Linked DNA regions of Kluyveromyces lactis. The protein of the gene in region 5 binds, or shares a complex with, the protein of the main gene of each other region. Links are inferred from orthologs where the notes say so. Each region holds a gene or a part of one and is shown on either strand. Other genes may lie near its edges. The genes, in order: NPL6, RSC4, SNF5, SFH1, ARP7, SWI3 and SWI1.

Region 1 (3,949 bases), on a different chromosome or scaffold from region 5:
AAACCAACTTTGAATAAATTGATGTTAACAGTCATCATATTCGAATCATTTGGTGTGAAATCCGTATTTCCGTTGGAACTCTTCTTAGACTCATTCTTGGGATCATTCTTGGGATCATGCTTCTTCGCCGATTCTTCAAATTCTCTCTTCTCGCGCTCTAGATGGAAAGGATCATTCGCTTTATCTTGGGCATCTTCTTTTTCCTGCTGCCTCTTCACAGCAAGCTCCAACCTCTGTAATTGCTCTTCAATCTTCTTCTTACGCTCTTCCATATCGAGTTTCTGATCTTTGTTCAAATCATCGATAAACTTTCTAACTTCTTTCCTGACTTTATCAACGTCTTCATCCGTAGGCTCCTTTTCAAACCGATTCTGCATCAAGTTGAGCTTACCGGAATGGAACGTACGGCATACGTCGTTTCGTAACAATATCAGCGAACGCCCCTTTGGAACTTTGTACAACGCCCTACTGGCCACAGACTTTACGCCAAGCCTAGATACCGGCCTTATTAAATGGAACATTGCAAGTCACTTCAATGTAATAAAACCACCACGTCGCTGCTACGGTTAGCCGAGTCTGATTGCTATACCGTTTACCTAACAGGACTTTTCGAATTTAAAACCAGTGGAAAATCTTTGTTAACACCGAAACAAACCGAGACAAAAACAGCCGTTTCAACAAACACCTGGCTATTTTACACTACTATAGGGTCTTAAATTCACAATGCAACCACTGTAGATTGCAAATGTAACTGCTAACGCTCCTTTTATCGGTGGCAAATGGCCTTGTCTGTTCACCTTATGGGGTTGTTCTGGTTGAAAAGCCCAAATTCATTTTTGGTAGAGCAAGGACATATCGTTACCCGGCCACTTAGTATAATACACTCTTATTACGTATGTTGAGATATACACGTATACATGGGAGGTCAGTTCAGCTATGTTATAGGCTTGTTTCGAATCTCTTTTGTTCTTCTATAGCAGCGACTATATCTTCGTCCAAGATGTCTTCGTACATCGATGTAGGGACGTCAGAAAGACCGGTGCAAGGTCTTGCTAGGTCAAGAGCTTTGATTCTTGTTTCGTACATAACTTGGCTTGTGTTTCCTTTCACTTTCTTCACTGATATCACTCTCGTCGATTGTGTGGATTGTGGTATATGTAAGACGTTCGTGTACGTATCTCTTAGTCCGAGGTTTTCGATGAGAAGAATGCGTTCTCTATCGTAGAAAAGATCACTGTTGAATCTACTGCATGCAGCAGCATGATGATAGAGCCAGTTCGTAGATGAGATATTGCTTGTTGCCGGGATGTTGTGATTTCTCTTGTCAAAGAATTCTACTGCATTTTTGGATGGGTTGACGGATAATTGTTGCGGAATGTCTATTCCAAGGGTATTTCTTCCAGTGACACTTGTGTGTGATGTTTCTCTTGCTGGGGTACCCTCTTTCACCTTCCCGGATGCACGAAGCTTACCGGCGTAATAATCATCCGTGATGTTTTTACCATCTACAACAACCTTGGCTCCGAATTCTCGGAACACACTCCTTGCAGTAACTAGCGCAATGATTCTGTTTCTGTACGAATAGGGCAATACACCATTTTTGATGAGATCGTCTCTCTCTGATTGCGAGATAATCAATTTGTATAGGTTTGGATGGTACTGGAAGAACAAGTATGAGTCTCTGAACCCAACGGCACGGGCTGGCTCAGTAGAAAGCATGTATTTAACTTCACCTCTGGAAGGTACCGTGAAAGTTCTGACTACAAATTGTCTTCCCTCTAGAAGATCACCATTCTTGGTGATCTTGGTTTCACCCTCTGGATCCTCAGGTAATGAATACTCGTCATTCACAATTGGGTATGGAGACCCGTTTTCGTCCACTGGGTACGGTAGTTTCTGTCTTAAGGGATCGTTCAAATCTTCTTCTCTTTTCCTCTTTGAAGGCCTTCCTCTTGTCGCTAGTACCACTGGAACAGGTGTGCTCGAAGCGGCCTTGCGCTTGGAACGAGATGGTTTACCCTCGTTTTCGATATCAGCATCTGGGTCATCATCGTAATCATCATCATTGGCTGGTCCAGGGTACTCTTGATCCTTTTCATCATCTTCAATGTCTAACTCGTCTGTATCGATTTTATAGCTGGTTGCTTTGTTAGCTGAGCGAGAAACCCTCGAGCTCTTCCTGCCTCTTCCTGCTGCTGCCATATCTGATATAGGAGAAACTCAAGCTTCTTGATTGGTGATTCCAAATACAGAATTACTAAGGAATGTTATGCGTATATCCGCTTTCAACCGAGCTTTGTTGATCTTGTTTGTTTATATATAAGCTTTGAGAGGCAGGAATCTGTTCAATGTTCAAGAGAAACATCAAAACGTATGAGATGATAAAGAAGAAAGAACAACTTCAACGGCTTTACTAGAAGCTCTAGATATTTCTGGGGGGGGGGGCCTTGATGCAACATCTGATCCTCCTATTGTTATTCATTGTCTTATATTTCGTACGTTAACTAACTGTTAAATACTTTTATGTGTTACTGGTAAAAAATGTGTCTCATTCAAAACTCGACGGTCCACCTCTTGATACAGGCGTCCACACCGGCGCTGACGATAGTGGAATCGTTTTCCCATAGTACACTGGACACACCGTCCTTTTGTGCGTTTAATCTTTTTATCACTTTCATAGGTTTGTTAACAGAGTAGATGAAGATGTTGGTGTCCAGAGAGCCAGTGACAACATAATCTTCCTCCAAATCATCATCATTTGCAGAAGGTCTCCAGTCAATGGATGTAATTCTGCTTGTGTGGAATGACCATCTCGAGGTCTTGACGTCCTTCGTGTCAAGATCATATAGGATAATCTTACCGGACACGTCACCGGCAGCCAAGTACTTTTGTGATGGAGAGAAGGAAAGAGCAGATGGAGTGGCACGTAATGGAGTGGCCAACGTGAATGCATCTGATAGGTCAGAAATTTTGAATAGCTGCACGGAGTTGGTTTGTTCGTATGCCACTGCCACGAAAGTAGTTCCCAATGCGAGGGCCCCGACAGGTTTATCTAGAGTTATCGATTTCGATAATAGCCCACTCTTGTTATCGATGATCAACAATTCGTTAGTGTTTGTAGCAACAGCCAAAGTGTTATGAGAGAAAACCGCACATTTAGGTTGCTCTGAGAATTGGTACTTCGTTTCAGCAAGCGCTTTTTCACCATCGATGAAATTCTTCAACGTTTCGTCCCAAGAAACACTCGATACCTCGTTATCAGAGTTATCGATGGCCAATACGAGATTACCATGAATATCATGGCTAATAGCATTGACTTCGTCACCTTCTGAATTCCAGGTAACAACTCTACCATCGTATGACCCAGACACTAATGGGTTTACCGCCAAAGAAGTAATCCCCTTGTTGTGACCATGAATGAATTTGATGGTATGATCATTTAGAGACAAAATGCTCAAGGTCCCATCAAGCGTCAATGTTACGATGGAGTTATCCTTAGTGACAACAACACCGACAATTTGATTCGAAACATCTGCACCTAATTTCCAAGACTGTTGGAATGGATCATCCAACGACACATCCCACAACCTTGCAGTGCAATCAGCACCCACGGTAACAACTCTAGAAGACTCTTCACCATCGTCTAACCATGCGACAGCAAACAAACCACCGCCAATTGGAGCCTTTTCAGACTCAATGTATTTGATAAATTCACCAGTCTTACCATCAAAGCAACATATCTTACGATCGCTACCGACAGACACAGCATATTTCCCTGCACCTGGAGAGAACTTGACGTCTCTAACGAATTTACCTTGGCCGTGATGCGTTCTATCACTGCTTGCAAACTTGAAAGGTGGACCCTGGTAAAACACAACAGAACCATCATCACTGACACTGAAAGCTCTCATTGGTCTGCTTTGCTTGAAATGAACTGCATTGACTCTTT
Region 2 (4,140 bases), on a different chromosome or scaffold from region 5:
AGGCAGATGCTAAATTTTTACTCTGAACTCTTCCAACCATTGAGCTCTATCAATTTTCCGCAAGGTAGAAGAGGAAGAGTAATGCACTCTGCAGGAGATACGTCTAGATCTAGCAGCGTTTTGAGTTTAGAACATGGAAGAAGAATGGACTTTTCGAACGTATCCAGTAGTGGTGATTCCAACAGGATTCATCTTCACAACTTACCTGAACAAATAAACGAGTATCCTGAGTATATGGACATGCCAATGGATGATCCCCAATTTATGGAACTTGATATCCCTCCCTCAAGTTTTGGTAGAAGCACAAACAGAAACTATACTGCCAATTCAGACAATCTCGAAAACTTAAGAGGATATCCAAATCGAAGAAGAGGAGCGATAAGAGGAGACAGCGGTTCTGCGGACTACCTTTCAGGATCAGATTCAATTCCACAGACATTTAATGAAAATCAACAGCAGCTTATCGTGCATGATAAGCAGACAGAAAAATTCTTTCAATATATTGTTGAGAGAGGACAACACATAGGTAAAAGAACTGCCGCTTTCCCAGGTTATTCCAGAAAATTCCTTTTTGAAGATATTATCCCAAGTAAGTTAAGTCAGGAAGAAGATGAAGAGATTATACCTGTTACTAAAAGAATTGCCTGTAATGCCTTTTTGTCGCTTTTACAATTGGCTACTTCGAGCAAGTTGAAAATTGATCTTTATAATGTAGAGCCTGAAAAGGTGTTCAGGGTACTAAATGGAGATGATATCATTGTATATTGCTAACTGGATCGAGTGAGAGTGTTTTTTTTTTAATAACTGACGTTCGGTTCTCTTGAGAGTGATTCTTCTTTCAAGCCCCATTTTTTGAGTAAATTTATAGTCTTCATATATTACACTGGAGCTACATAATAGCTAACTAAGGTAATACACTAATCCAGAATTTGGCTGTTTCCAAACGGTCGTTCTCTGAATCTCTTACAGAGAAAGTAACAGTGTTCAGACCTTCTGCCAACTTGATATCGTATCTTGCTTTACTTTCGTCGAATTTATCCCCATCTAATACTGGTATTGGGTTTACTTTATCCTTGTTTGCTATCAAAACTGCAGGGCTATCTTCTGAAACAGGAGAGCTTAATTGTGAAACCACAGTAATTGAATTTTGTTTTGGTGGTAGTGTAATAGCATATTCGTGGCTGGTTTGGGTGAGGGCACCATCTGCGAATATGTATTCGAACCAAGTGATATTGTCGGAATTCTGATACAGTCCCTTCAGTGGTCGTATTGATTGTTCATAAAAACTTCTAGAAGAAGAAATCTGAATCTTTTCTATCACTTTATAAGGCACTGGCTCTGTCTTTGGTTCAATGTTGTGCTTTTTTATAACAGGAAGGATGTTAAATTTCAAGGGAAGTGGTTTATCTGGTTCATTGTTTTCAACTTTCGAGTCTGCAGTTTTACTTGTTTTTGATGGTCCCAAAAGGTAATCTCTAGACATTGGGCCTCGATTATATCCATTTCCTAGTCCCTCTATATAATTGTATTCTTCGTTAGTTTCATCATCATCAGAAAGAATTGGTTCTTCCTCTTCTTCTTCTTGTACGAACTGTTTATATTCAATTTTGTCGTATTCCAGCGTGATTTCTCCTTTTTCTCTAGCAGTTTCTAATTCAGGGAAGAACCTTCTTTGGATCAATACACTAAAACATTTCATCAGCTTCAATGCATCGCTATATATTGTAGTATCTTCGTCATTGAAAACCAATGCGTTTTGAAACGTCAAATTAACATCGGTAATGAAATCGTAGATTTTGTGATAGTATCCAAGTTCTAAGTTATTTTTCACCAAGTTCAATGAGTTAGGTAAACGAATCACTTCTTCATATTCTGGATACTCATCTTTATCTACCAATTCAAGGAACGGTTGGCATATGTTTAAAGTGTCATCCAAGTTGTTGTTAGAAGCCGCTTCTAATTTTACGTCATCATCTTCTGCTAAGATTTCTGCCATCTGTTTATCTGTTACATTGAGTAAAGTGTCAAAGATTGCTATGAAACGTGTCTTCACATCATCGTTAACCAAGAAATTTCTTGTAGCATTTTTTACTTTCAACACTTCATTTTTGATGAAATATACCACTTGTTTCGCATTTTTAACAATAAGAGAATCTGGATCGTTATATGCAAGACAGTTCTTGTAGATCAGTTCACAATCCAATAAGAACTTGGTTTCCCCACCACTATATTCGTAATCCCTGCTTTTAATTTCGTTAATAGAGATCGGTTGATCAATTTTGTAATAGTACTGTGGATGAAACTTCCTACTGGGTAGTTTGATAAAGTGTTTGAATAAAGCCTTGTGAGCTTCAACTAAATTATCCAAAGTAAATGCGATGAACAAATTCAACTTAGGAATAGTCCAATCTAGATCTACAATGAGCTCTTCTGTAGGATCCAAAGGGTGCACATAATCCACTTTGGGTAGAGCGCCGCTTCTAGGACGTTTTCCTGGTGTATATCTTGGTACATAATTCTGTTTTGAATGCTTTTGTTCGGGTTCCTCACTGGGATCTTCTGATCTGCTTCTTTTCACAGCCATAGTATTTGGCGCTTTCCAGTTTGTTTATGCTTTTTTTTTTGCCTCCTCGCTTCCTTGGCTTCTTAAATGAACAAATTTCAGTATATATGCAGCAGTCAAGGCACTTACTCTAACCGTACCTAATTGGCTCCTTTGACAAACCAAAATCGTATACTGCGTATTGTTTTATATGTCTATTCTACAAAGTTTGTATATTTCAATGTTTTCAATAAAGAGAGTGAAAGTACCTTTACAAGATTGAGAAATGTTCAGACGTATATAGTGATATATCGCATTTCAACATTTGGTGAACCCATTTTGAGTGCGCTAATAGTGCAGAAACCTATTGCGTCACGATTCGATATTGGCGACCAATGGCTTGTTATATTCCACGGTAAGGTTTTTCACTAGGTTAGCGAAGTACTTTTTGTGAAATTCTTGAATCGCCTTCCTTGTGTCCTGTTTTATTTTCGAACTGGGAAGTACCGTTAAGGGTACGTCATGTAAAATTTCTCTTTGATCTTGCACATAGCTCGAACCTAAATCGTGTGAGGATGCTACGATACCGCTGTTGCTGATCATACCTATATCTATAAGCTTATCGTTCGTATTATTCACGATTTCGGTCAATTCAAGTTCTCTTGCAAGCACTCTTTCCTTCTGTCGTTGTTCCATTTCGTTATAATCTAATTGGGCTTGTGAGCCGTACCTGTCCTGTTCCTGCAATAACGGGTCATTTTCGTCGCTATCTTGACGAAAGCAGCAACTTAGCACATTTCCCATAATATTTTAAATGTTTTAGGCAGATTTTCGGTAGCTACTGATGCTAGAATTCGTTAGTAAACGTAAACTATCTCATTGCCTTGGTGGCTTTAAGGTAAAGGAACTACACTTACTATAGATGTTGATAAAAAGCACTGGGAAGCATAAATTTCATATTCTAGTATGTGGGTTGTGGGTGTTTTGAATAGGGTAACCCCGTCTTCTTTATCTATCGGGCTACATAGATAAGCAGCTTTTAGTTACTGAATACAGTGAACATCATGCAAACCAGGAAGTACGCACTTAACTCGACCCGTTGTTAAAGACCACTATGATGCAACTATCTATCGCTTCAGATCCTGTTTCTTTCTCTCTTTAGAACCTTCCCATATGGACTACATTCTTTCTATGCCCAATTGAAAAATTGAAAAATTTCATCTAAAAACTATAAACTTACAATTTGATGAAGATATTGTATATTAGAACATTAATTGAACGGTCAAGTTCTTGATGAGCTTAAGCACAGAAGTATCTTCTAGTGTTGTCTGATTTGGCGGTTGATATCAGTTCATTAAAGCGTGGTACTGTGCATATTTTTCAATCGAAAACAAAAAAGAATAATGATGCTAGCGTCTAGGTACGTGCCAGTAGTGCGTTCATCAAGACAATTCACTTCAAGTGCAGTGCGCTCTGATTTCTTGTCATGGTTCAGAAGAAATAAAAACAAAGATGCTGGTGTCGTTTCAACACAGCCAGAATTGCAAAGAGATACAAAAGAAGTTATAAATGAGATCGAGTCCGGGAAAACAACTGTA
Region 3 (4,765 bases), about 1.1 Mb from region 5:
GGAAACTGAAGCTGACCACAACGTTCCATAAGAAATTGAATATATTCCCAACTGGAAGGCCGTCGATGCAAATTTCGTTGTAATACAATCCAACGCCATCGTCGTCTATACCGTAATATGGTGGAGCCATATCAGCCGCAGCCTCGTCATACGTAGGAGGCTTATCCTGTTCCCCATTCCCATTGATACCGTTCCTTTCAGGTTTCGCCATAAGATTACTGAATACACCATCAGAACTCGCCCCGACTTGTAACCTCATCGCTTGCTCGCTTGAACTGCCGCCTCTAAACAGTCTATCTAATATATTGAACTTTCGGGCAACAAAGTTCAAATGTTGTTGGAACTGCCCATTCATCTGGTGCAGTCTAGAAGACGACGAAGTTGTCCCTGTTTCCACATCATCAGCTCTTGAAGATTCGGTTTCTGGCTGTGTTTGCAGCTGCGACTGCGATTGTGAAGGAGACAAAGTCACTGAGGAAGATCCACCGACTTCATCTTGGCTCCTGCCAACGCCACTTCCGGCTACGAATTCCGAATGCTCAGACATACTCGCCGCGTAGATAATCTCAGTAAACTCTACTACCCTCGAGTAACACTCAAATATGGCTGCTTTGATGAGTTTGTGGCCTCTGCATACCAAGTTTCTTAAAAGGGTTGGTTCGTTCAAATGTTAACGTTTCCATTACTAAATATATTTTTTGGTTTTGAGCTGTTTATGAAATTTAGAGGCTTACACCATAAAGAATGAAACAGGCACACATAAATATCGATATACGTAGAGGTGCGTGTCAAGACCCTCGAGTAAGCCCGCGATCATCGGCGTTCGGTCTCTCATAGCTATCTTCAGTGCTCTTTCTTCTAGCTTATTTATCATAGTATTTCTTAAAATTGTTACAGGTGGTACCACATAAATACATATGTACATATATATATATATAGCGAATTACTCATTGAATGGTTGTCTTCGCCTTTGGTAGCTTTATAGTGACGAGTAAAGATTTCCCAACGTCGTGCATAATAACTCTGCATGCTGATGAGTTTCTTACTTCCTGTTGGAATTCTTGTTTTGGAGTTGCTTTAGCTCTGTCTAAATATTCGACTCTAGTTGATGGCTGGAACGATAACGTACTTGGACCAACATCAATACCTCCAGGCAAAGTTGTTGTTGGAAGTAGTTGACGGCACGTTTTTGGGATATCCCCAAGATCAGGAAGTTCTGCATCATGGGGTAGTTGCGGTGTACTTCCGGACGATGGGTGATTTTCTGTATTGCCTCTTCTATTGAAACGAACTTGTCTACGTTTCCTTCTAGTGTCTCTGTCCTTATCCTTAACCAAACGTTCTAGTTCTGCGGGAGATATCTGTAATAAGTTAGGTGTGTATAAAAACGTATCCTTTTGTGGTCTCATTACGTCTGCTAAGGTGAGTACAGGCAAGAATCTTGTTCTGATATCGTCTTCTTCAACGGGGCTACCGTCAAATTTGTAACCAACCATATATAATGACTTGTGATACATGTGAACTTGTTCTCTAATGCAATGTGCAATTGCTGTTAAGAATTCACCCGGAAGGGATAGTTCTTCGCATAAACACTCCGCGAACGATTCTGGACAATTATCTGGATTTGACACATCCCATTCAACGGTATCTATCAATTGATGTTGTCCAACGACAATATCTAGGTTGATTTTTATTCTGAAATCATCGCCCCCGAACCTCTGCACATTTTCAAAAGGATTTGGAGTATATTCTTGAAGTTGTTCTTTGATACTATTCACAATCTGTTGATACATCTCCGTGGTGACTTTGAGCCTATAATCCTTCAGCGTTGTTTTCACAAATTCGTTGATTGACAGTAGCGTGTCTGATCTGTTCCATACGAATGTGTCCCTCAAAGTAAATTTATCCTTTTCTGCATCAAACTCTAATCTAACAGGTACTAGTTCCTCCCCTGTTTGATTCATTGTCCATTCATATATTTCGTCCAAGTGCATTTCATAAGTGTCATCGACTTGAATCCTTGTGAGATCGTTACTGAAGCCATTTCCATATCCAGAATAACCGTCACCCCATATACTCTTAGATTTATGTCCTTGAGTTGTGTTGGTAATGGATTGCATTCGACTGTTCCTCAATTCTTTGTAATAATCAAGATCTTGCTGTAATCTCAATATTACCTCCCTCTGACTGAATCCGAATTTGGAAATAGGTTCCAATCCATTAGTGTCCGCCAACAAGTTGTCCTTATCCAACAAATCCCGTTCAATAACATGTTCATATAATCTTGTATCAAAACTCACAGGCTCGTTATCAGCTCTTTCTTTCTCTGACCATAACCTAGTATGAGGTAATGGAGTCTCAGGTGGGTCTTGAAGAATAGTTTGGAATTTGGGAATATCAGGAAGTTGTTTCTGAAACTTCTGAAGCACTTGCTGTAGTATTGCAGCTTGTGATGGTTGAGGTGGCTGTGGTACTGAAACTGGGACTTGTTGTTGTTGTTGTCGTTGTGGTGGTTGTCGTTGTGGTGGTTGTGGTGGTTGTGATTGTGGCTGTTGTGACGAAGGAACCATCGATTGATTACTGTTCATAACTGGTATATTCTGAGTTATAGGTTGACCTCCAATCATTTGTTGTGGATTCCCCATTTGTTGCTGAAGTGGTATACGAGGTTTCTGAGGTTGAGGCTGTTGAAGCTGCGGTTGGTTAGGAGGAATAATGTTGCGTGGCGGGGATTGATGTTGTTGCTGCTGAACAGGTTGTTGTGGTGGTACAGGCTGTTGTTGCTGTTGCTGTTGCTGTCTATGTTGTTGCTGTAATTTGACTTCAAGCTGAGTGATCATCAGAAGAGCGTTCTGGTTATTTCTCGCAATAGCCTGTTGTTTGATGGACTGAAGCCATTGCATTTGCAATGCCGGTGATAGTTGTGCAATTTGTGGAGGAAGATTCAAAGAAGTTCGTTGTTGAGATTGGGGAGGAGACTGCTGCTGTTGCTGTTGAACCTGCTGTTGTTGCAATTGCTGGGCTTGTTGCACCTGCTGAGCTCGTTGCTCCTGTTGCTGCTGCGTCTGAGATCTCTGCATTTGTTGTTGTTTGAGCTTCATTAGCTGCGCACGCTGAGCAGCATCCAATTGGTTCATATTACCGGGAGAAGAAACCTGTTCTTGCTGCATCTGCTGTGCTTGTCTTTGTCTCTGCAATAACAACTGTTGATGTTTCTGCTGAATCATCTGCAACTGCGCTGGCGTCAAGGATTGTAGGATATGTTGTGGAACCTGCGAAAGCGAAAAGGAAGGCGTCCCTATGTTACTCAAAGGGTTCGCATTGCCAGGATTCATTGGTGGGTTTGACATTCTCCTTTCAGCTTATATAGAGAAACAAAACTGCAACTAGTGTTTTCAATTGCAGACAGAAAGGGAAACACAGAAGGAAACTAGTATATTCTTTCTTGCGATAATTCTCAACCAAATGCTGTCAAATATACCCTTTCTGAAGCCTACCTGAAAGGTGTTCAGTTCCCTTAAAAACAAGAATTTCTTGTTGATCTTTAAAGTTTGTTGTTGGTCTTGTTCTTTCGTTCTTTGAATTCATGAAATTCACGAAATTTTGATTAACGATTAAGAGAAGTACGAGATGGAACAACCTAATGAAAAATTAAGGCAAGCAAACAGGATACAGCGGGTTATCCGCATATAGTTGGTTATCATAGTGAACTTAAGCAATTGGCTACAATGATTGTTAGCATATATGTCAATGATAGGTGCCAGGAAACGCTATTCCAGTACTCAACAGTAGCAGAGTGCCCTACTTTTCGGCAACTAGTTGTTAAACTACAAGGTAAAGACGAATCATGGGAGTCTAAATACTGCAATGAGATAAATTCTGAGTTGAAGCTTTGCAGACACGTTTCTTTGCTGAATCCAGTTGTTTATTGGTGTTTAATTTCGTGTTCAGAGTCCACAGTTTCCGTGGTATCTTTGTTAGAAGAGATAGATTTACTGTTGTTACAATATTTCGATAAGGACCAATTAACGAAGCAGAAGATAAATAATAACCTCGATCGATTATCGATGCTTTTCCATTGTATCCTTGATGCTGGGCAACCGGTGATAACAGACTCGAACCGTTTAAAGGCAATGGTCCCAAGTAGAAACGATTTATCGAAATTGTTGAAGACGACAACCAATACAATTACCAAGACCTTACAACAACCGGACGGGTCAATGTTTAAGAATGGTCCGGAAAAATCAAGGTTTAGTGGCAGTAGATATCCATCTTCATCCGCTTCATCCGTTTCCTCGTTCCACGTTGGGTCTCCTGGCTCCTCGTTAGTTGATCATTCCGTTGATGAATCTGGTGTCCCATGGAGAATGAGCGGCATCAACTATGCTAATAACGAAATATTCATCGATATGAGTGAGGAAATTAACGCTATTGTGGAAAAGGGGAAACTGTTAACCGGACATATCAAGGGTTGTATCGACTTAAACAACCATCTCAGCGGACAGCCATTGGTTGAGATGAAACTTGGGCTCTTAGACCACAAGCTTAGCCACTTAAACACGACTTTCCATAGATGCATCTTAGAGGATAAGGCGAACAGCATAAATGATTTAATCGCTGGGAAATTCACTAAGCTAACGTTTGTACCTCCTGATGGACGTACTAGGCTCTGTCAATATACCCTACCGTTGGTGAAAAGAGACTCAAACCTCGGCATTATAGACGTAAATTTACAAAGCAGTTTAGGTAAAAGACTTGACGAATT
Region 4 (4,009 bases), on a different chromosome or scaffold from region 5:
AAGGGGGTCGTTGAGAAATATAGTATATTTATTTATTCATTTATGTAAGGGGAAAAAGGTGAAGAACTTAAATTAGTTTAATTACAACTTTTGCATAGCAGCAACATCAGTAGATTGGACGTGGTCTTCATCTTCTTCGATAAGTTGTTGCAATTCATCAAGAGAAACCTTAGCATCTTCGATGACCATGTTAATTTGCAACTTCTTGATACCGAAACCAATTGGAATCCATTGGTGAGCACCCCAGTTCAAACCATCCATTTCGATGTTCTTAACGTTGGCAACCAATTCTTCCAAATCGGTTTCGTCATCCCATGGCTTAACATCCAAGGTAACGATAGACTTAGCAGCAGCCTTTGGCTTAGCAGCCTTCTTTTCGTTGTATTCAGCGATTCTCTTAGCCTTCAATTGTTCAGCTTCTTCATCGACATCATCGTCAGAACCGAACAAATCGACTTCGTCATCGTCATCTTCTTCTTCAGCAGCAGCTGGTGTAGAAGTAGCAGCTGGCAAGGATTCGAATTGATCAGCCTTGGAAGCAATGTGGTTGAACCATCTAGAGAATTCTGGGTAAGTAGATTGGAAAGCCTTGAAAGCAGAGACGTCAGCTTGAGTAGCAGAGGTACTATATTGATGCAATTGTTAGTTAGTAAAATGGAAAGAACAAAAAAATGAAATTTTTTTGTATGGCAGCTAAGCTTGCTTGCTGAAAAGAGAATTCAATAAAAAAGATAAATCAGAATCGTACTGTCTAGGTACTGTCTCTTTGTCACTCATACCGGGGGTCTTACTTCCCGTCATAAACACGGACCAAAGAATTTGTTCATCATTGAAATAGTAAACTTTGAAGAATTCTCTTATTCAAAAAACTGCTTGATGCCATTGGAAAACCACCACTATAATTATTTCACATACCCTTCAATGTAAGACTTGTCAGCCAAGAAAGTGTTCAACTTTTGCAAGGTTTCGACCTTGGAGAAATCAGAGAAAGACATCGTTAATGGATAGTTAAACCTGGTGAGAGAAGAAACTAGGAAAGAATCAATTCCTCTTCTTCTTCTTACAAGGAACGTTGAATCAAATTGACGAAAAAAAAATACTGAAAAGCTGATGAAAAACTCTAATTCGAAAAGTTCCAATATATATATATATATATTTATGAGATATATGATATGTAAGACGTATGTACTATGGAATTATGGCATCTACGTGTATTCAAAGTGCATGCAATGTGCGGTGGAAGAAAATTTTTTTTCTTCCTTGTAAGTGCGATGAGATAGATACTGGAAAGGCAACAGCAGAAAACAGGGCACGCTGCGGCGTGCCCTGCGACAATTTGAGAAAAACCAAGTTTATTTTCAAAAATCATGGGTCCACCCCTTTGAAAAACGATTTTGCCATAGTAAATGGTTCCAAAACGGTACGGATTTTTCTGAGAAAGTGTTCTTTTTTTCATTTTTTTCAAACTGGATTCCTTTTCTTTTGACAAGTGAAATGTTTACTCAGGGTAACACTTAGATTGTTCAATCAACTCATCACTGTATACGAATATGAAAAAGTATCCATCAATTCAAGAATAGAAGTGCAAGTTCGTGTTTTAGGGCTGGTTGAATAAAGACTATGATAGTGTTACTACAAACAAACGGTTTACTCATTGAAGCGTGCTGATATACAGCAGACAAAGCAACTACGACCTGCCTCCCAAAATTGTATTGATATGTCGCTCGTACCGCAAGCCTACTTGAGTAACTTCCATAATAGAGTGAAGAACGAGGATGTTCCGTTGTTTACTGCTGCGCAGTTATCGAGAAACAAGAGGGGTAAACAGGTGAACTACGCTGAGTTCGATACGGATCTCTTGGATGAATTCATCGACAAGAACGATGAGGATGATTTGGAGGATGATGTGGACGATTCGGATGGTCGTCGTAGGGGTGGGGACTACTATGATCAAGTAGACGGTAGTGATGGAGGTGCTGCGGCTGCTGCCGCCACCGCCGCCGCAGCGGCGGGACTCGGTGAAGATGGTGGCATTGGTGAGGGCACGCCCGGGTCTGGTGACCCCGGTGCTGTCACTGGCGGAACGCCGGCTGCAGATACTGGGCCAGACGGTACAAACGATGGTACTGCAGGAACGTCAAATCCTAGCTCAGAATTGGATCGCATCAAACTAAACGACTTGCCCGACCTTGAAAGTCAGGATGATTCTGCCACTCCGCTAGCTTTGTTGAAATATCCTAGGATTAGGGAAACTTTCGTGCAAAGTAGGATCGCTATCAGTTATAAAGACCTTCTTGGAGATTCTATCCAGGATCCGCAGCAAGTGGATATAGAAAGCCCGATAATGGTTCCAATACGGTTAAACGTTGAATTCAGTGGACACAAGTTAGCAGATTTTTTCATGTGGAATTTGAACGACCATTCGATGACTCCAGAACAGTTTGCTACGATCTTGTGCCAGGATCTTGATTTCCCAGTGCTTTCCAACCCAAATAATTCCCCATATACACAGATTATCTCTATGATTAACGAACAATTACAAGAATATGAAACATTGGCATCTTTACAGGTTCCTGATTTACACGTGATAATAAATTTGACTGCAAATCTCGATTCCAAGCTTTATGATGACACTTTTGAATGGAACCTTAATGACGATTCATTATGCCCAGAACAATTCGCAGAATTGGTGGTACAGGACCTGGGCTTGCAAAGAGAGTTCGTTCCTGCCATTGCACATTCGTTGCATGAATCCTTGCTAAAGGTAAAGAAGGATTGGCTCGAAGGTAATTTGAATTTGGCCCATGTAGAAAATAAGGCAGCTTTCGGTTACACATCAGGTATCCGTCTAGATATAGATACACTTGGCGCCTCATGGTTCCCTAAGGTAGAAGTCCTCTCACAATGGGAAATCGAAAAGCGTGAAATTGAAAAGGAGAGAAACATGAGAAGATTAAAGAGAGAAAGTGCCAAGGTCGATGACGGAAGATCCAGAAGAAGAGGCAAGAGGAGAATGGATGACTTGGAAACTACTTTGAGAATATAAGTGTGTTCTCTTTTCCGGCCAAGCAGTTTAACTTCACAGACGCCCATTAGACAAAGCTGTATAGAAAATAAAGTTCTCCATCTATTCGTGGAGATTTATGTATCATTAATGTATTAATACCACCGTCATCTGTGGTTTTGCACAAATACTCTTCCTTTTCGTCAGACTATTATTTATTTAGTCGCCAAAAATCTCCACAACAAATAGAAAAAGATCAAAGATCATCGCGAATCAGTAATGCGTACGCTGGGAATAATAAAAAGTACATACCCGAAATCCTTATTACTTCAATTACTATGCTCCACGAAGTATTATACAAGCATTTAGACGGCATTTTAGTCTCACGTTTGTATACTGAGGATCAGTTTGTTGATCTATTTTCTAGAACGATACCGGAATCCAACACTGTGATCGCGTCACAGTTATACAAAAGTTATGAAGAGAATGATCAACGGATCATTGAAAAAATAGATAAACTCATCGACAACAAGCTGTCTTTGATAAGAGTTGAGCTCGAACGGGAACAAATTGAAGACTCCATTTCTCTCGAGGAAGTAAATAAACTATTGCATAGCATTGATGATATGTTGCAGCAGCATTTAAATCAATTAAACATTGAACTAGATAATAAAAATACAAAACTTTTGAAATATGCAATGGAACTCAGTGACATTGAAGCAATAGATACTTCCATGTACGATAATGTTGCAAAATTAATAACGGACATGGAAACCAACCAACCTTCTAGTTGAAAAGCTCAAGAACACACGGTAGAATCTATTCCAGGCACTTCCAATTCTTCACCAACCCATTGGAAGACTTCATACTTGGAGTTCAAATCTTTGTTTGAATGCATGCAGTATCCATCACCTGAATCAGGTTTCAGTGCACCGCTGACCGACATAGGATTGATGAATATGCATCTTTTCACTCTGGAATGAATTAGTGCCATGCTGCACATTG
Region 5 (3,699 bases):
TCACACTATCGAAAAAGCTCCATAATTTAGAGTCCGTATTTCAGTCTGCAAGGAATCTCGGTGTCTGTGTGTCCCGTCCTGTCCCATTGCTTATTTACAAAACAGACATTATCCACGTCCTCGTGTCTCTTTTACAAAATCCCTCTATTCGTACTGGTGCTTCTTAGAAAAAATTGGCCATTTATCCTGGAATAACTAAGTGTCCCATCTGATAAAGTGTCCCATTTGAAAACACCGGGTTGCAGGGACAATCACAAATGCCTTACATTTCACTGTTGACATCCTTGACAAGTCCCTGTTATTGCTGTTGATAAGATGTCCCTGATGACCCAAGGGTCATCAGGGACATTGTGTTTACCTTCTGATAAGCCTCCCCTCCATGTCACACTGTTTACGTTATCCTAGCAATTCAAAGGAAGATTCTTGATAATACCTAATCTAAATGCGTACATGTGTTTGAATAATTAGATAATTATTCCACGTCTCTACGGAGTTTTCTGGTGTCCCTTTGTTTTTCCAGGAGGAAATTCTAAAAAAGAAACGTACTACGTTTCTTTTCGGAGTGAGTCAAATCTTCCCGGAACGCGTCTTTTTCTATCATTTTATACGCGAAAATGCTTGTTGAAAGAGAATGGATGCCTTCTTTTAGGGTATTGTCTTACTATTTTGGTACCTTTTCTTGAAAAGGATCAGCGCCTCTAAATTATCCTTCTTCGCAATTACTATTCCAGATCCGGTCACGTGGATTAATACTATTTGGTTTAAGTTTTCTTGGGTTTGAAGATTATCCGGTACGTACATTATTATATTTTTATACTGCCAGTTGAGTGAGAGGTAGGGCAGGTGGATATCGCCATTCATTCGATAGATTCCCACGCATGTAACGATTCGCGCAACGGTAGTCTGCATAAGGTTGTTGCAGATTGCCATGATTGGAAGTTTCTGTCTAATTTGGTCTGTTTGAAAAGGATCTTAGGCCTCACTGTGGTTAGATCGTTTAGGGAGACTGAAACGTCATTCAATATTCTTTGCTCTAAACCCTGAATGTTCGAGGTACTTCCTGTCACTAGAATGTTCGTAAGCAGTAGACTTTGTAGTTGTTCAGAAGTGTAGCTGTGCGTTGGGATGTTCGTATCCTCGTTGTTGTTGCTTTGGTTGCCCGAGGAAGCATTACCCGTCGTAGTGGAGGACCCTGTAGTGTTACTGCCTGCGGTGGACATTGCATTGACACCATTTAATAAACTTTGGATGCATGCTCTGATCAATCCAATGACCCCAATTAATTTCTCCGGATGTGGCTTTTTCTCTATGTCATTGACATCTGCCATTTCTACATCTCCGTTTGCATTGTTACTTACGTGTATCACTGGCTTGAACAAGAGTTCTCCAATGGTGTATAGCTGTTTGTTAGTGAAGGTGAGAGTTTTCTTATCGAGTAGGAAATTTTTGGTCAAGTCCATTGGTGACACCATATGTTGGTAATGAGGAGCCACGTCATAATTAGCATCCAATTCAATCGGAGAAACTTGCAGCATGCTATTCTTGAAGTTGGGTAGCCATTCAGTGGCATCCCTCCAGATTTTCGTTGATTTGCCCGAATCCTGCTTCAAATATTGATCGCAGATCTGCCAGTTTAAGAATGCACCACCGATCTTGTTCTCCTTGCGGTATTGTTTGAAAAGAACACCATCAATGACAACGTCCACTTTCACTCCACTGTGGCCAATGTCCACCACAATTCCACTCGATCTTCCCTGACTCAACGTGTTGCAGACAGCCTCATTCAAAAGTTGGACCATTGGAAAACCGTACCCCAACAGTTGTTCCATAAATCTCTTACGACGCGCACTGTTTAAGTCGGAAGGTAAGACAACACATACTGGATAGTCTTCGAACTGTATGCCTAGGCTTTGAAAGATGTACTGCCATTGAGCATCCATCATATCCCAATCATTTGGAAGTCCGTTCTTATCGTACAATTGGTATATTTCAGCGCTCTCATCGTCGCAATGCTCTATCATTTCCCATTTACCGAAAACTTTAACATCCGATCCATCTCTTTTATAGGCCAAATATTGAGATGGTACAATTAACTGCGGCAAATCTTGGTTGCTGAACCCACAAATAACCCTAGTCTGCGAGATCTGTATCACCACACTCTTCATGGTCGGCATCTTGAACTTGCAATAGATATAACGTAATCACTCTATATGCACCAGAACAAAGAGAAGATCTTCAATTTTCAAAAGCAGATAAGGATTAACTTCTTCAACAGCTACCTGTTTTTGCCGATTATAACTGCTATCAATGGAAAATTATGGCTCTTAAACGGGATACTAGAGTTGATAACACTGTTTATGTTGATGTTTACATGTTGGCTTTTTTTTCGTCGGTTCTTCGAATTTCAAATTCCAAACTGAGTTCCAGTACTGTTACCCGGACTCGTCGCCAATGTTAATATTGTTTGAAAGAACGCACTACTTCAACATCCAATTTGCATATATAATAACAAGAAAGGATGAAACAGACGATCCGCTATCGAACGGATTTGAATCTGGTTTTGATTGTGTTCTACTCTATCGGTAAAGTGATTTAACATAACCTAACACTCATCTCACACAACTATGGACGAACAAAAGAAAGAATACGAGAAACTAAAGAAGAAGCTTCGAGATGCTTTAGTACAGAAGAAACAACTCGAAGCCAAGTGGAATAGTTTAGAGCAAGAGGTATACGATAAAGAAACAGAGTATCTATCACAGAAACCATCTTCCAGAATGGGGAACATTCTGCTCGGGTTTCAGGGTTTCAACAAGAGCAGTTCTGCGCAGCAGATATTGTCTGACCACTCACATTCGTCAAATGCCCAGCCATTGGACGATAATGATCGCATTTTTTCATTAAGTTCGTACCTTTTTGCAAAACAATTGGCTGCTTCCAATCATCAAGAACAAACGAAGTCCAATGATTGAACAGGAAGCTTATCTGTTTGCCCTCTTCACTGAGACATATCCAGGTCCAGGACACCGGACACAAGAGACAAGAGACAAGAGACAAGAGAAACTAAGGGAGGGGGAAGAAAAACGGTATTATTTTACCCCGCATCTATTTCTCTTGAAGCACTCTTTAAATGCTCGTGATAATTAATCACTTTGTAACATTATGTATTCTCTCTTCCTAAAGTATTTTCAATTACTTACCCTTAATTTTTGAGAGGCCTCTTTTTCTTTTCATCCGTCAGATCAACGATCATAGAATCAGTTTAATCAATAAAACTTGCGTCAAACTACTCGTAGAAGCAAAGGATTGAATCGTTTACAGATTTCCAGTCCAACCGAATTGTCCCAATGTCTTAGATGAGACTCAGGTGCTATGTAATGGTGTATGTATGTGTGGTTAGCATGAATTCTAACCTCCATTCTTGATTGTTAATTGGAGTATCACTCAGCCAATCAATTTTCAGAAACTGCCAAAACCTTGAAATTTTCAGCTTCAAAGAATTAGATATTATTATAACAAAAGATAGAGCAGCAATTACACATTCAAACAAACCAATGAGAACAAAGACAGAATCGTGAATTGCTGTCGATTAGGAGCGTTTGAAAAGGTACCCAATTGTTGATCGTTTAATCGGATTAGACATCAATTGAAGCAAATAACTGTTTTTGTCTCTCTTAGTGAGAAAAAGTAGCGAAAAAA
Region 6 (5,002 bases), on a different chromosome or scaffold from region 5:
TTTGTAACGCCTGGATTGAGGAAATGTAGAAACGTCCTTTTTGTTTCATACGGTCAAAATTGGAGTCCGGACTCTCTTTAATCATTAAATTGACTATTATATGAAAATCCATTTGTGGATCAGGTTCATCCGTTATAAAGTAGTCTTTATCTGATACTTGAACCACTTATATCCTATCCTCCACTCCTCCTACCAAGAATCAGTAGTTGTCGGTTGTAAGATTGTTTGGATGACCATTGTAGTTTTTGGGATTTTTCTAGTCCCAGAATTTATTCCGTTGTTTGAAGGATTTATTCCTGTCATCGATTCTCCTATCAGTGTTTTCGAGTGTTCTCTTTTGTTTAGTCATTTTGCTAAACCTCAATTCCTTCTTTAATTCTAGGATTATCTCAGTGGTTTGATTTGTAGGTGGTTTGCTGATGGGATGTATGCTATCAAAACCATGGTAAATCATAATATGTCTGTACACTTTGTCGGCCAGGATAGTATCCAAGTGAGGTAAATTGCATTTTTTGAAAGCTTCAACTAAGTCTGTTAAAGTTTTTATTAAACCCTTCACCTTGTAACGAGGATTTACTTCGAAGAATTTGACTCTATGCTCCAGTAAATAAGGATTGTATTTCTTATGGATATAGTCCATAGCAATGGTGGGAATGTCGGCATAATCCTCACGGAATTTCTCTCGATGAGCTTCCAACCATTCTGGGTTTTCTGGTAGAGATACTACTCTTTCATATACGTCTTGCCACCATGCGACTTGATCTGAATTGATACCGTCGAATAGAGTTGTATTTGAGAAGTCAAACTTATCTTCATACCCACAATAAGTGAAGTATTTATAAATATCAAACAACCATTTTTCTAAGAAGTCTTTTGTTTTGACCTCTCTGATATGAACATCATATTTTGCCTTTTCACACGGGAAAGGACTAAAGATGTTATCTTTTAGGTACCGTGTAATACTCGAACTATATTCATCTGTTACTTCCTTGATTGAGTAATTGTTGAACAGCTTTTTGTTGTTTGAACCTGTGGCGCTACCATATTGAGTCCCGGAAGCTCTCTGTTCAGTGTTACCCTGACATGATGATATTCCTTCGCTCATATTATCTGTATCTGACATCAATTGACTATTTATTATACACCGTTGTGTGGTCTGTATTCCTCCCTCTCCCCACCATCATCTTTCCATTATATAATGCCTAATCATCCTATGAGTTGGCATAAGATTGATTCTTCTCTTCTATTTGTACTTCTCTATCTCGTATATGATAAAAGAGTTGTCACGTAATAGTTCTTTCTATCTCGTATACTTTCGTATAGATGGATCTTAACACTTAACATATCACGTGCACAAAGGTATCATCTATTACCCGGACACAAATGGTCTTCCTTAGGAAAGATGTTTCGTCCTGTTTTAACAATGTTAAAATAAACAATTTCAAGTAAACAGACATTAAGTCAGGTTTGGGCCAGTTCAATCTAAAGCATCGATCAATTTTCGCGTCATTGCTACTACTTTTCAGCTTGTCATCACTCATCAGTTATTCTGACTCCACTTCTTTGTTGACAAGTGAAGGAAAGCAATTCGCCTGAGGAAGATTATAGTTTATACACGGATTTTTTAATGGCAGATGACGAACAACGGGACTCTGTTCTTGAGTCTGCACAAACTCAGAGCTCAGTAGAGAATACCCAAAACACGTCAGAACAACCTGGTTTGATAGACCATACCGAGGATGTAGATATGGGAGGAATTGATGATAACTTGGACATGGACGTTGAACCTAATCTACCTGATGATTTTGGTAACGAATTCTCAGAATCTTTGCCGCAAGACTTCCCTGAAGAGTTCGGCGATGCACCATTGGCCGAAAACCTCCCTGAAGGAATAAACGATAAGCTTTTATCGAATCTGGATAATGAGAACGGTGACGCGGACGATGCAGATCTATTTGAGGAAGAACCCGAGGAACAAAACCCTGCTAATGAAGCATCCGAATCTGATTTGTTGAAATCCCCATCTAAAGAAGACGATACTACCGCAGCAGGTAATGAGGAACAAGAACAAGAACAAGAACAAGAACAGGACGAACAAATGGATAAAGAGAATGACGAAATCGCGTTGCCAGAAACTAAAAAGGAAAGCGATTCGAACGGCGAGGGGAACAATGACCCTGTTGGAAATATAGAAACTGAACAGAGCGAGGTAGAACCTGCACAGAACGAACTGGAAACTGCCAATGACAAACAAGAGCCAGCACCAGAACCAGAATCATTTACTGAAAACCCCAAATTACCAGACGTGAAGGACTTAGGGCAGCCCGATTCTGGTATAGATGCTCCAGTACATACTACAACAGAGACAACAGTTGATGAAGAAATTGATAAAGAGCACAATACTGAAGCAGAAGCAGAACCTGAAGTAGATAGTATTCTTGAACAAGAATCGAGATCAGCTTCTCCTGAATCAAATATAACCGTAAAGCAAGAAAGTAATACTGCTGATCCAAAATTATTTGTACCGCAATCCCATGAAATTGTAATCCCTTCATACTCGAAGTGGTTTAATTTGACCAAAGTTCATGAAATCGAAGTGAAATCTTTACCGGAATTCTTCACTAATAGAATACCTTCAAAGACACCCCAGATGTACGTCAAATATCGTAACTTCATGGTAAACTCTTATAGACTAAATCCAAATGAATACTTCACAGTCACTGCAGCTAGAAGAAACCTTTGTGGAGACGCGGGCGCCCTCTTCAGACTACATAAATTCTTAACCAAATGGGGATTGATCAACTATCAAGTAAATGCTACCAAGAAACCTAAAATGGTTGAACCCCCATTCACTGGTGAATATGAGACGAGATACGATGCTCCGCGTGGATTATTCCCATTCCAATCTTATAAGCCGGCCCTACAACTTCCTGATATGACCCGCTTAAAAAAGATAATGACTCAGTTAGACACCAAACCCTCGGAACCATCATCTTTGAAAAGGACTAGTGATGAAATCTCCAGTGAGCACACTCAAGATTTGTCAAACGGGGGATCCAGTCACGTTAATGGTATCACTAACAAAACGGCTTCGGGTTCTGTGGGACCAGAGAACTACGGCCTGAAGGATGAAAAGGAGTCTCCAGTGAATGCCGACCTTGAGAGAAACGATCGCAAACCCAAAAGACCAAAGATTTCTCAACTGATTGACAAAGATTGGACCCAAGAAGAAATCTATAAACTTATCGAACTTATTAAAGAGCATGGCACCGATTGGTTTAACATTGCCAAAACTCTAGGAACAAAGACTCCGGAGCAATGTATTTTAAGGTTTTTACAATTGCCTATTGAAGATGCATTTTTGATGGATGAAAAAGATCTCGGACTCTTGAAGTTTGGTTCTCATATTCCTTTCAATAAATCTGACAACCCCGTAATGAGTACGTTGGCATTTTTAATAGGGTTAGTCGATCCTAACATTGTTCAGCATTTGACTAAAAGGGCCATTTCTCTTCATGACATTAATGTTAATACGGGTGCTAACACGGAAGCAAAAGACGCAGAAGAAAGGCAGGAAGAACAAAAAGAAGAACAAACAGAGGAATCAAAAGAAGAACAAAAAGAAGAAATAAAAACTGACGCCAGGGAAATTGAGCATACAGAAACGGGAGCTGAAAAATCTGAACCTGCAAATTCAAATGCCGCAGATCACTCCACAGCAACTGAAGGAACTGCTCCAGCAGCAGAACAAGTAGCAAATTCAGATGTAACTGTTGACACTTCAAATGAGAAAAATGCAAATACACCAGAGAATGAAGAAAAAGAAGCAACAGAAGTAAGAGCTGAAAAAACAGGAGAAGAAGGGCTACAAAAAGCGGAAGAAAAGAATAAAGAGGAAGGTAGTCAAGAAGAAGCGATTCCAGTGGAAGAACCTCATCAAGAAGAATCTTTAGAGAATGAAGCATTATCAAACAAGGAAACACCATCGGAAAAACAAGAGCTGCCAGAAGAACAAGCAGTAACGGTCACAAATGCTGAATCTGATGCTAGAATAACAGTGAAGGACGGCACAGAAGTCGCTCTAGCTACCTTGGGGCTACGCTCTCATGTATTCGCTACCAACCAAGAAAAATTGATGAATAGGACGACAAATGATTTAATCAATACTCAACTAACAAAAGTCGATTTGAAGTTGAAGGCTCTTGATACCATGGAAAAATCCTTGGAACTAGAGCGCAAGGCTGTGCATAGGAAGCAAGAAGATGTTTTCATTCAAAGGCTAAGCTTCACCAAGTATGCCAACTCTCTTATGGGAAAATTTGAATCTTTACTGAAGCAAATTCCGGAATCTCCAGAAATCAAACAGCAATTACACGAATTACGTACCATAATTGCTGATCCACCAAAGACAAGTATCACATCCCAATCGGGTAATCTACAAGATTCTGATGATCTAGACTCCGCCAACAAACCAATATCGATTGAGTCACCGCAGTTATATCGTTATTGGTCAGGTTAATAATATAGACAATATTCATGTATTATATAGCCTCGTAACATTATATTAATTTAAACTATTGAAACAACACAAAAAGTCAAGCCTCTCCTTGTCCAAATGCAACATCTTCGTTGGAGTAAATCCTACTTGTTTTTTCCTTTGTACCTTGTCTTCAGGAATTATGTCCGTATGCTATATTGTCTTTAAAATATGAAAATATTGGAAACCTTCAAAAAAAATAGCTTTAACTAAACACGAATACGATATTTAATATTCCCAATATCAGAACAATTGAATGATACTGGTATTCGTTGTAAAGGTCGGATTTGCATTATTAAGGACCCAGTAACAAGTTCTGCGATGAATTTGTCTACATATGAGCATGCGTTGTCATTGTGGAAAGAAGCTGGCTTCAGCAGTATACAATCGTTACTTGATGATAGCATAGCTAAGATAAAGGATTTAGAAACTTCATCCTTGGAATCAAGAAAAACGTTAGCCAGT
Region 7 (4,672 bases), on a different chromosome or scaffold from region 5:
CAAGGGAGACAACTCTCTTAGCGAAGATGGTAACGTTTTCCATATCAGTTTCAGAAAGATCTTGACCCATAGAGATACGAGCGTTATCGATCACTCTTTCACTGATACCAGCATCGTTATCCAAAATTTCCGATAAATCGTGCAAGGATTCTTCGTTCAAAGATGCCTTATCCTTAATGAATAGAACGAGTTTAGCAAACTTGTAATTGTCTGGGACTAACTTTGCCAACTCTGGGAAATGCCAACCGTACCATTCCTTCACTCTCATGGCAAAAGTGTTGATATCCTTATCCAATTGATCCAAGAGAGCAATGGCTTGAATGATATGGTTATCGTTTTTCTGAACAGAGAACTTAACCTTAGCACGAGAGTAAGCATGACCCAAACCAAGTTGAGCTCTTTCCAAATCACCAGGTTGTAAATCTTTCAATAATTTGTCACCGTGTAATCTAACACCACGAATCAAATCCTGAGCTAACTCATTAGAAATACAATCAACAAATGGAAAAACTTCTTTAATGGATGGACCTAAGTTCTTATCAGAAATAGCCAAAGTAACAGTCTTCTTAGAAGAACCCTTTGGTAAATTTAAATCCAACAAAGCTTTCAAATGTTCAGAGACTAAACCTTCAGAAATATCATTAGCATTTTCCAAAGCTTGAGCAGCACCTTTGAAAGGAGCAAAAGAAACCAACTCAACTAACTTAGTGAAAGAGCCGAAATCATTGATCTGTTGCTGGACTTCCTTCAAACGAGATCCGATATCATCCTGTTGCAATTTCACTTTGAAGATACCATACCCGGTAGGTTCTTCGAACAAAAGATATTCAATAGGAGCCATTATTTAATTCTCTGATCAATAAAGTTTCCTCGCTACCGTAAAATCTCTTTGATCTGGACTCTTCAACACACACTAACTTCGGAATGAATGAACAAAACTCAAGATAATACAGACAAGTATTAATTGAAATATCGCTGTGCACATAACACAATATACAATATATTCACTGGTCAGAAAGCTCATCTCTCTTTATTGGCTTCGAAATGAAAATTTTCCAAACAAAAAAAAAAGAGCGATGAGCTTGAAAAAGAAAAGCAGAATGGGAAATATATTTTACTTACCCGGCCGCGGCCGGGTAAGTTATACACGTGATCGAATGTATTACCCGGATATAGAATAATTGACAAAATCACGTGACCTGGAATTTTCTTGTCTTTCCAAAAACAAAACAACGAAAGGAAACTCGAAATTGTATTCAATGAATTCAATTGACACTTGACTATCACTACTTTCAGAATGAATATAATTCCCTTGTTTTAGGTTTTATTTAGGCGTGATTTCTCTCCCCTGATATCAAGGGTCAAACGGTAACTTTATTGGTACATACGGATGGACGATCAGTTTTTGTTCCCGGACGAGAGTGATCCAATGAATTCTGGCGATGGCCAGCTTTTCGGTCAAGGAGGTTCGAACGGTGATGAGTACCTTTCCTTCCTTGATAACTCAGGCGCACCCAACCAGCAAGGTATACCTGATAGTAATTTAGGGCCGATGGAAGATGTTAACGCAGGCGTAACGCCCCAGGCTATATTGGCTAGAAATTCATTCTCAACTGTCAATTCACCTCCGTCGATGAAGAACGGTGGAGTCTCTATCTCTCCACAATCCATGTTTTCTCCAGCCGCAGGACCAATTCCTATGAATACAGCCAATGTAGCACCGACGCAGTCTCCCGCCGGCACTACTTCTTTACAGCAGATGTTATCGCAGCGTGGAACGCCGCAAAATGTGCCAAGTGGATCCCCTACAATGGCCGATGAGTCTTTAGCTCAGGCGAGTGCTAGTAGACAGAGCCCTCAGTATATGGATAGAGCCGCAATAATTGCTGCGCATCAACAGAGGCAACAGCAACAGCAACAAAAGCTACAGATGTTGCAACAACAGCAGGCATTCAACCAATTACAGCAGCAGAAACTAAGACAACAGCAGCAACAAGCACAGGCTCAAGCGCAGGCACAGGCTCAAGCACAAGCTCAAGCTCAAGCCCAAGCACAAGCACAAGCACAGGCTCAAGCTCAAGCCCAAGCTCAAGCGCACATACAAGCACAAGCGCAAGCACAGGCGAGAATGCAACAACATGCGCCTCAAGTACAGAATCAGTCTAATAACCAAAGAAACGTTCTACAAAATCTAGATCCAGCCATTCAACGGAAAGTCGGTCAGGAATTAAACACCAAACAGTTTGAACTATTTAGAAAATCATTTTTGGAACATTGCAGGAGAAAGAATCAACCCGCAGATATTGCTCAAATGATTAATGGTACCCAGGTCAGTTTCTTCATCTTATACATGTATGTTCAGAAGCTTAACGGAGGAGAAAACGTCACTAAAGCACAACAATGGCACATATTGGCGAAAAAGATGAATATACAAGGACCAAATGCTGGAGAAGAATTGGCAAAGACGTACTACAGATATTTACTACCGTACGAAAAGTACTTGATGACCCCAGAAGGTATTAAAGAAACTCAAACCAATCGTATCATGTTACAGCAATTACTTCAGGACATTATAAGAAACATTAGAACGAATACACCGCAGTTCCAACCGCAGGTGCAAAATCAGTCTTTTATGCAGGGTCAAAACGTAATACAACCGGATTTACAAATGAAGCAACAACAGATTCCTAAGGCTCAAGGCAAAACAAAGAACACCGTCCCAAAACAAGCAAAACCTAAACAGCCTAAGAAGCCAAGAGTGAAGAAGAAGACTAAGAAAGAACTAGAACAGGAAAGAAAACAAATGGAAGAGCTGCAAAAGCGTCAACAACAAGAAGCGGAGCAACAACAGCAGCAGCAAAAGCTCATATTCGAACAACAATTGAAGAAACAACAGGAAATTATTTTGAAACGTCGTGAAGAGCAAATTAAGAAGCTTCCGAAGGTGTATAAGAGAACGATGGCCAGGCATTATAGTCCCACCACAAGAGCCATCACCACGCAAAATGGGTATGATATTTCAAAGATTTCAGCTCTTGGTGAGATGATACATAATTTTAAACCCATCTTCCTCTTTGCGCCGGAGTTTGGTGTCGTCAATATCAATGCAATTGCAATGCAGTTACAAAGTTCTAATAACCCGGAAGTCAATACCGCACTAAACTCATTATTAGTTATTAGCTCCGATAACACTTTATCAATTCCACTCGATAAATGTCGTGAGCTTTTGGATAACCTCTGTATCTTGGCGTGTCAGTTACTGCATAAACTATTGAAGAAGGATTATTCAAGGATATCAGGGTCTTATACTGAATATGATGAACAGCAGTGGATTAATACGCCTCCCAAACATTCGGATTCCTCTGATACTCATATTGATAAAATTTTCAAGGAAAGCGTCAAAAAATCTGGAGAAGATCAATCTGAATATACAGTAAAGGTAGACTCTTTAACTGGTATAGATTTTTCTCAACTTCCGATCACACCGACGGAACCAGAAATAGAAGTCGATGCGACATTACCTGAAGTCTCACTGGAGAAGGACGAAGATGAGAATGATATTGAATACTTACCTGATTTGTTGAAAGACGAAAATCTCGATGAAATCAAAAAGCTACATTTCATTTCATATATGGATTCTCTAACTAAAGTCAAAACGGAAGTCGGATCCATCTTTAGCAAGTGTCACCGTTCTGGAGCAGAGGATCCGCACTTGTTGATTGTTGACCAATTGACAACAATTTCAATGATCTTGAGAAATCTTTCATTTAACGAACAGAATTCACAGGTAATGGCTAATAATTACCACATGGAAAAATATATTGCAGATACTCTTTGGATGGTTTTCATTCATAGAGATGAGTTTATTTTTGAGCGCAGGGTTTTAAACTTCAAGAAGGATTTGATTTTTATTCTATCTAATATTACACATATGTTGAAAATTGAATCAACAGTAACTTGTTTGTTAATCATAATGCTAGCGTTGAGCTTCGCTGATCCGAAAGATCATATTCAAGAGAATAGCGTCTTGACATATGCAGAGTACACCATGAATGTTGAAAAATGTCAGACATACGGTGCGGACGTCTTGGCTAAACTTCTTTCTCTTGGTTACCCAAATAGAGCACATTTTAAGTCAGTATTAACTGGTGTTTTCACTGAAGAAAATGACGATGATGACATATGCCAGCAGGTTTTAGATTTGTATAACGGGGACGAAAAATTCAAGTTGTTTAATGACATTTTCTCTTTTATCATTTCCACCATCCCCTTCCAACAAATCAATAAAATCCCTAATCTGATTGAAGACTCACTTCCATCTATTTTACAAGCTCTGACAGCTGCTGTTTGCATTGTAAAGTTTATCGATGCTCAAGAGGAGCACTGTATTTTCAAAAATCATAACCTCCCATGCAAATGGCTCACAGCAGAAGAAAATATTGGAGTAAGCCTTCGTAGAATTAGCGAGGCTCTTGCTAATATTGCAATGCAAAACACTAATTTGCGAGAGTTCAAGGACGTTTTAAGTATTATCAGTGGTACAGCTATTCAGTTGATTAGGCTAATGCTAGAAAAGAGTCTTGAATTAGCATTGATTTCGGATCATCCAAAATTAGCTAGAAAGAAGATAATAGAAGAGTTGTCACAAACCCCTAATTTACTTCCAAGCGAC

What was found.
Region 1: ARP7 (region 5) and NPL6 share a complex: the UniProt entries of both Saccharomyces cerevisiae proteins name them as parts of the two forms of the RSC complex. The link is inferred for Kluyveromyces lactis from reciprocal best matches to the Saccharomyces cerevisiae genes ARP7 and NPL6.
Region 2: ARP7 (region 5) and RSC4 share a complex: the UniProt entries of both Saccharomyces cerevisiae proteins name them as parts of the two forms of the RSC complex. The link is inferred for Kluyveromyces lactis from reciprocal best matches to the Saccharomyces cerevisiae genes ARP7 and RSC4.
Region 3: ARP7 (region 5) and SNF5 share a complex: the UniProt entries of both Saccharomyces cerevisiae proteins name them as parts of the SWI/SNF global transcription activator complex. The link is inferred for Kluyveromyces lactis from reciprocal best matches to the Saccharomyces cerevisiae genes ARP7 and SNF5.
Region 4: ARP7 (region 5) and SFH1 share a complex: the UniProt entries of both Saccharomyces cerevisiae proteins name them as parts of the two forms of the RSC complex. The link is inferred for Kluyveromyces lactis from reciprocal best matches to the Saccharomyces cerevisiae genes ARP7 and SFH1.
Region 6: ARP7 (region 5) and SWI3 share a complex: the UniProt entries of both Saccharomyces cerevisiae proteins name them as parts of the SWI/SNF global transcription activator complex. The link is inferred for Kluyveromyces lactis from reciprocal best matches to the Saccharomyces cerevisiae genes ARP7 and SWI3.
Region 7: ARP7 (region 5) and SWI1 share a complex: the UniProt entries of both Saccharomyces cerevisiae proteins name them as parts of the SWI/SNF global transcription activator complex. The link is inferred for Kluyveromyces lactis from reciprocal best matches to the Saccharomyces cerevisiae genes ARP7 and SWI1.

Annotation. Positions count from the first base shown.
Region 1 is NC_006042.1:1,271,558-1,275,506, forward strand, and holds NPL6 (Npl6p), read right to left. Parts: upstream 2,203-3,949; coding exon 940-2,202; downstream 1-939. Other genes in the region: m-AAA protease subunit YTA12, read right to left, coding at 1-521; AIP1 (Aip1p), read right to left, coding at 2,553-3,949. UniProt on the Saccharomyces cerevisiae protein: Component of the chromatin structure remodeling complex (RSC), which is involved in transcription regulation and nucleosome positioning. RSC is responsible for the transfer of a histone octamer from a nucleosome core particle to naked DNA.
Region 2 is NC_006037.1:259,071-263,210, reverse strand, and holds RSC4 (Rsc4p), read right to left. Parts: upstream 2,585-4,140; coding exon 905-2,584; downstream 1-904. Other genes in the region: REC8 (Rec8p), read left to right, coding at 1-771; MEH1 (Meh1p), read right to left, coding at 2,915-3,346; mitochondrial 54S ribosomal protein mL50 MRPL13, read left to right, coding at 3,946-4,140. UniProt on the Saccharomyces cerevisiae protein: Component of the chromatin structure remodeling complex (RSC), which is involved in transcription regulation and nucleosome positioning. RSC is responsible for the transfer of a histone octamer from a nucleosome core particle to naked DNA.
Region 3 is NC_006041.1:1,665,375-1,670,139, forward strand, and holds SNF5 (Snf5p), read right to left. Parts: upstream 3,351-4,765; coding exon 948-3,350; downstream 1-947. Other genes in the region: BSD2 (Bsd2p), read right to left, coding at 1-547; APM3 (Apm3p), read left to right, coding at 3,729-4,765. UniProt on the Saccharomyces cerevisiae protein: Involved in transcriptional activation. Component of the SWI/SNF complex, an ATP-dependent chromatin-remodeling complex, which is required for the positive and negative regulation of gene expression of a large number of genes.
Region 4 is NC_006039.1:1,628,514-1,632,522, reverse strand, and holds SFH1 (Sfh1p), read left to right. Parts: upstream 1-1,717; coding exon 1,718-3,046; downstream 3,047-4,009. Other genes in the region: EFB1 (translation elongation factor 1 subunit beta), read right to left, coding at 82-625, 916-995; NKP2 (Nkp2p), read left to right, coding at 3,343-3,798; TAD3 (Tad3p), read right to left, coding at 3,804-4,009. UniProt on the Saccharomyces cerevisiae protein: Component of the chromatin structure-remodeling complex (RSC), which is involved in transcription regulation and nucleosome positioning. RSC is responsible for the transfer of a histone octamer from a nucleosome core particle to naked DNA.
Region 5 is NC_006041.1:566,452-570,150, forward strand, and holds ARP7 (Arp7p), read right to left. Parts: upstream 2,175-3,699; coding exon 858-2,174; downstream 1-857. Other genes in the region: EAF6 (Eaf6p), read left to right, coding at 2,625-2,972. UniProt on the Saccharomyces cerevisiae protein: Component of the chromatin structure remodeling complex (RSC), which is involved in transcription regulation and nucleosome positioning. RSC is responsible for the transfer of a histone octamer from a nucleosome core particle to naked DNA.
Region 6 is NC_006037.1:579,914-584,915, reverse strand, and holds SWI3 (Swi3p), read left to right. Parts: upstream 1-1,627; coding exon 1,628-4,519; downstream 4,520-5,002. Other genes in the region: KLLA0_A06446g (uncharacterized protein), read right to left, coding at 257-1,123; CCAAT displacement transcription factor COY1, read left to right, coding at 4,859-5,002. UniProt on the Saccharomyces cerevisiae protein: Involved in transcriptional activation. Component of the SWI/SNF complex, an ATP-dependent chromatin-remodeling complex, which is required for the positive and negative regulation of gene expression of a large number of genes.
Region 7 is NC_006040.1:1,041,246-1,045,917, reverse strand, and holds the start of SWI1 (Swi1p), read left to right. Parts: upstream 1-1,390; coding exon 1,391-4,672. Other genes in the region: snoRNP complex protein NOP56, read right to left, coding at 1-841. UniProt on the Saccharomyces cerevisiae protein: Involved in transcriptional activation. Component of the SWI/SNF complex, an ATP-dependent chromatin remodeling complex, which is required for the positive and negative regulation of gene expression of a large number of genes.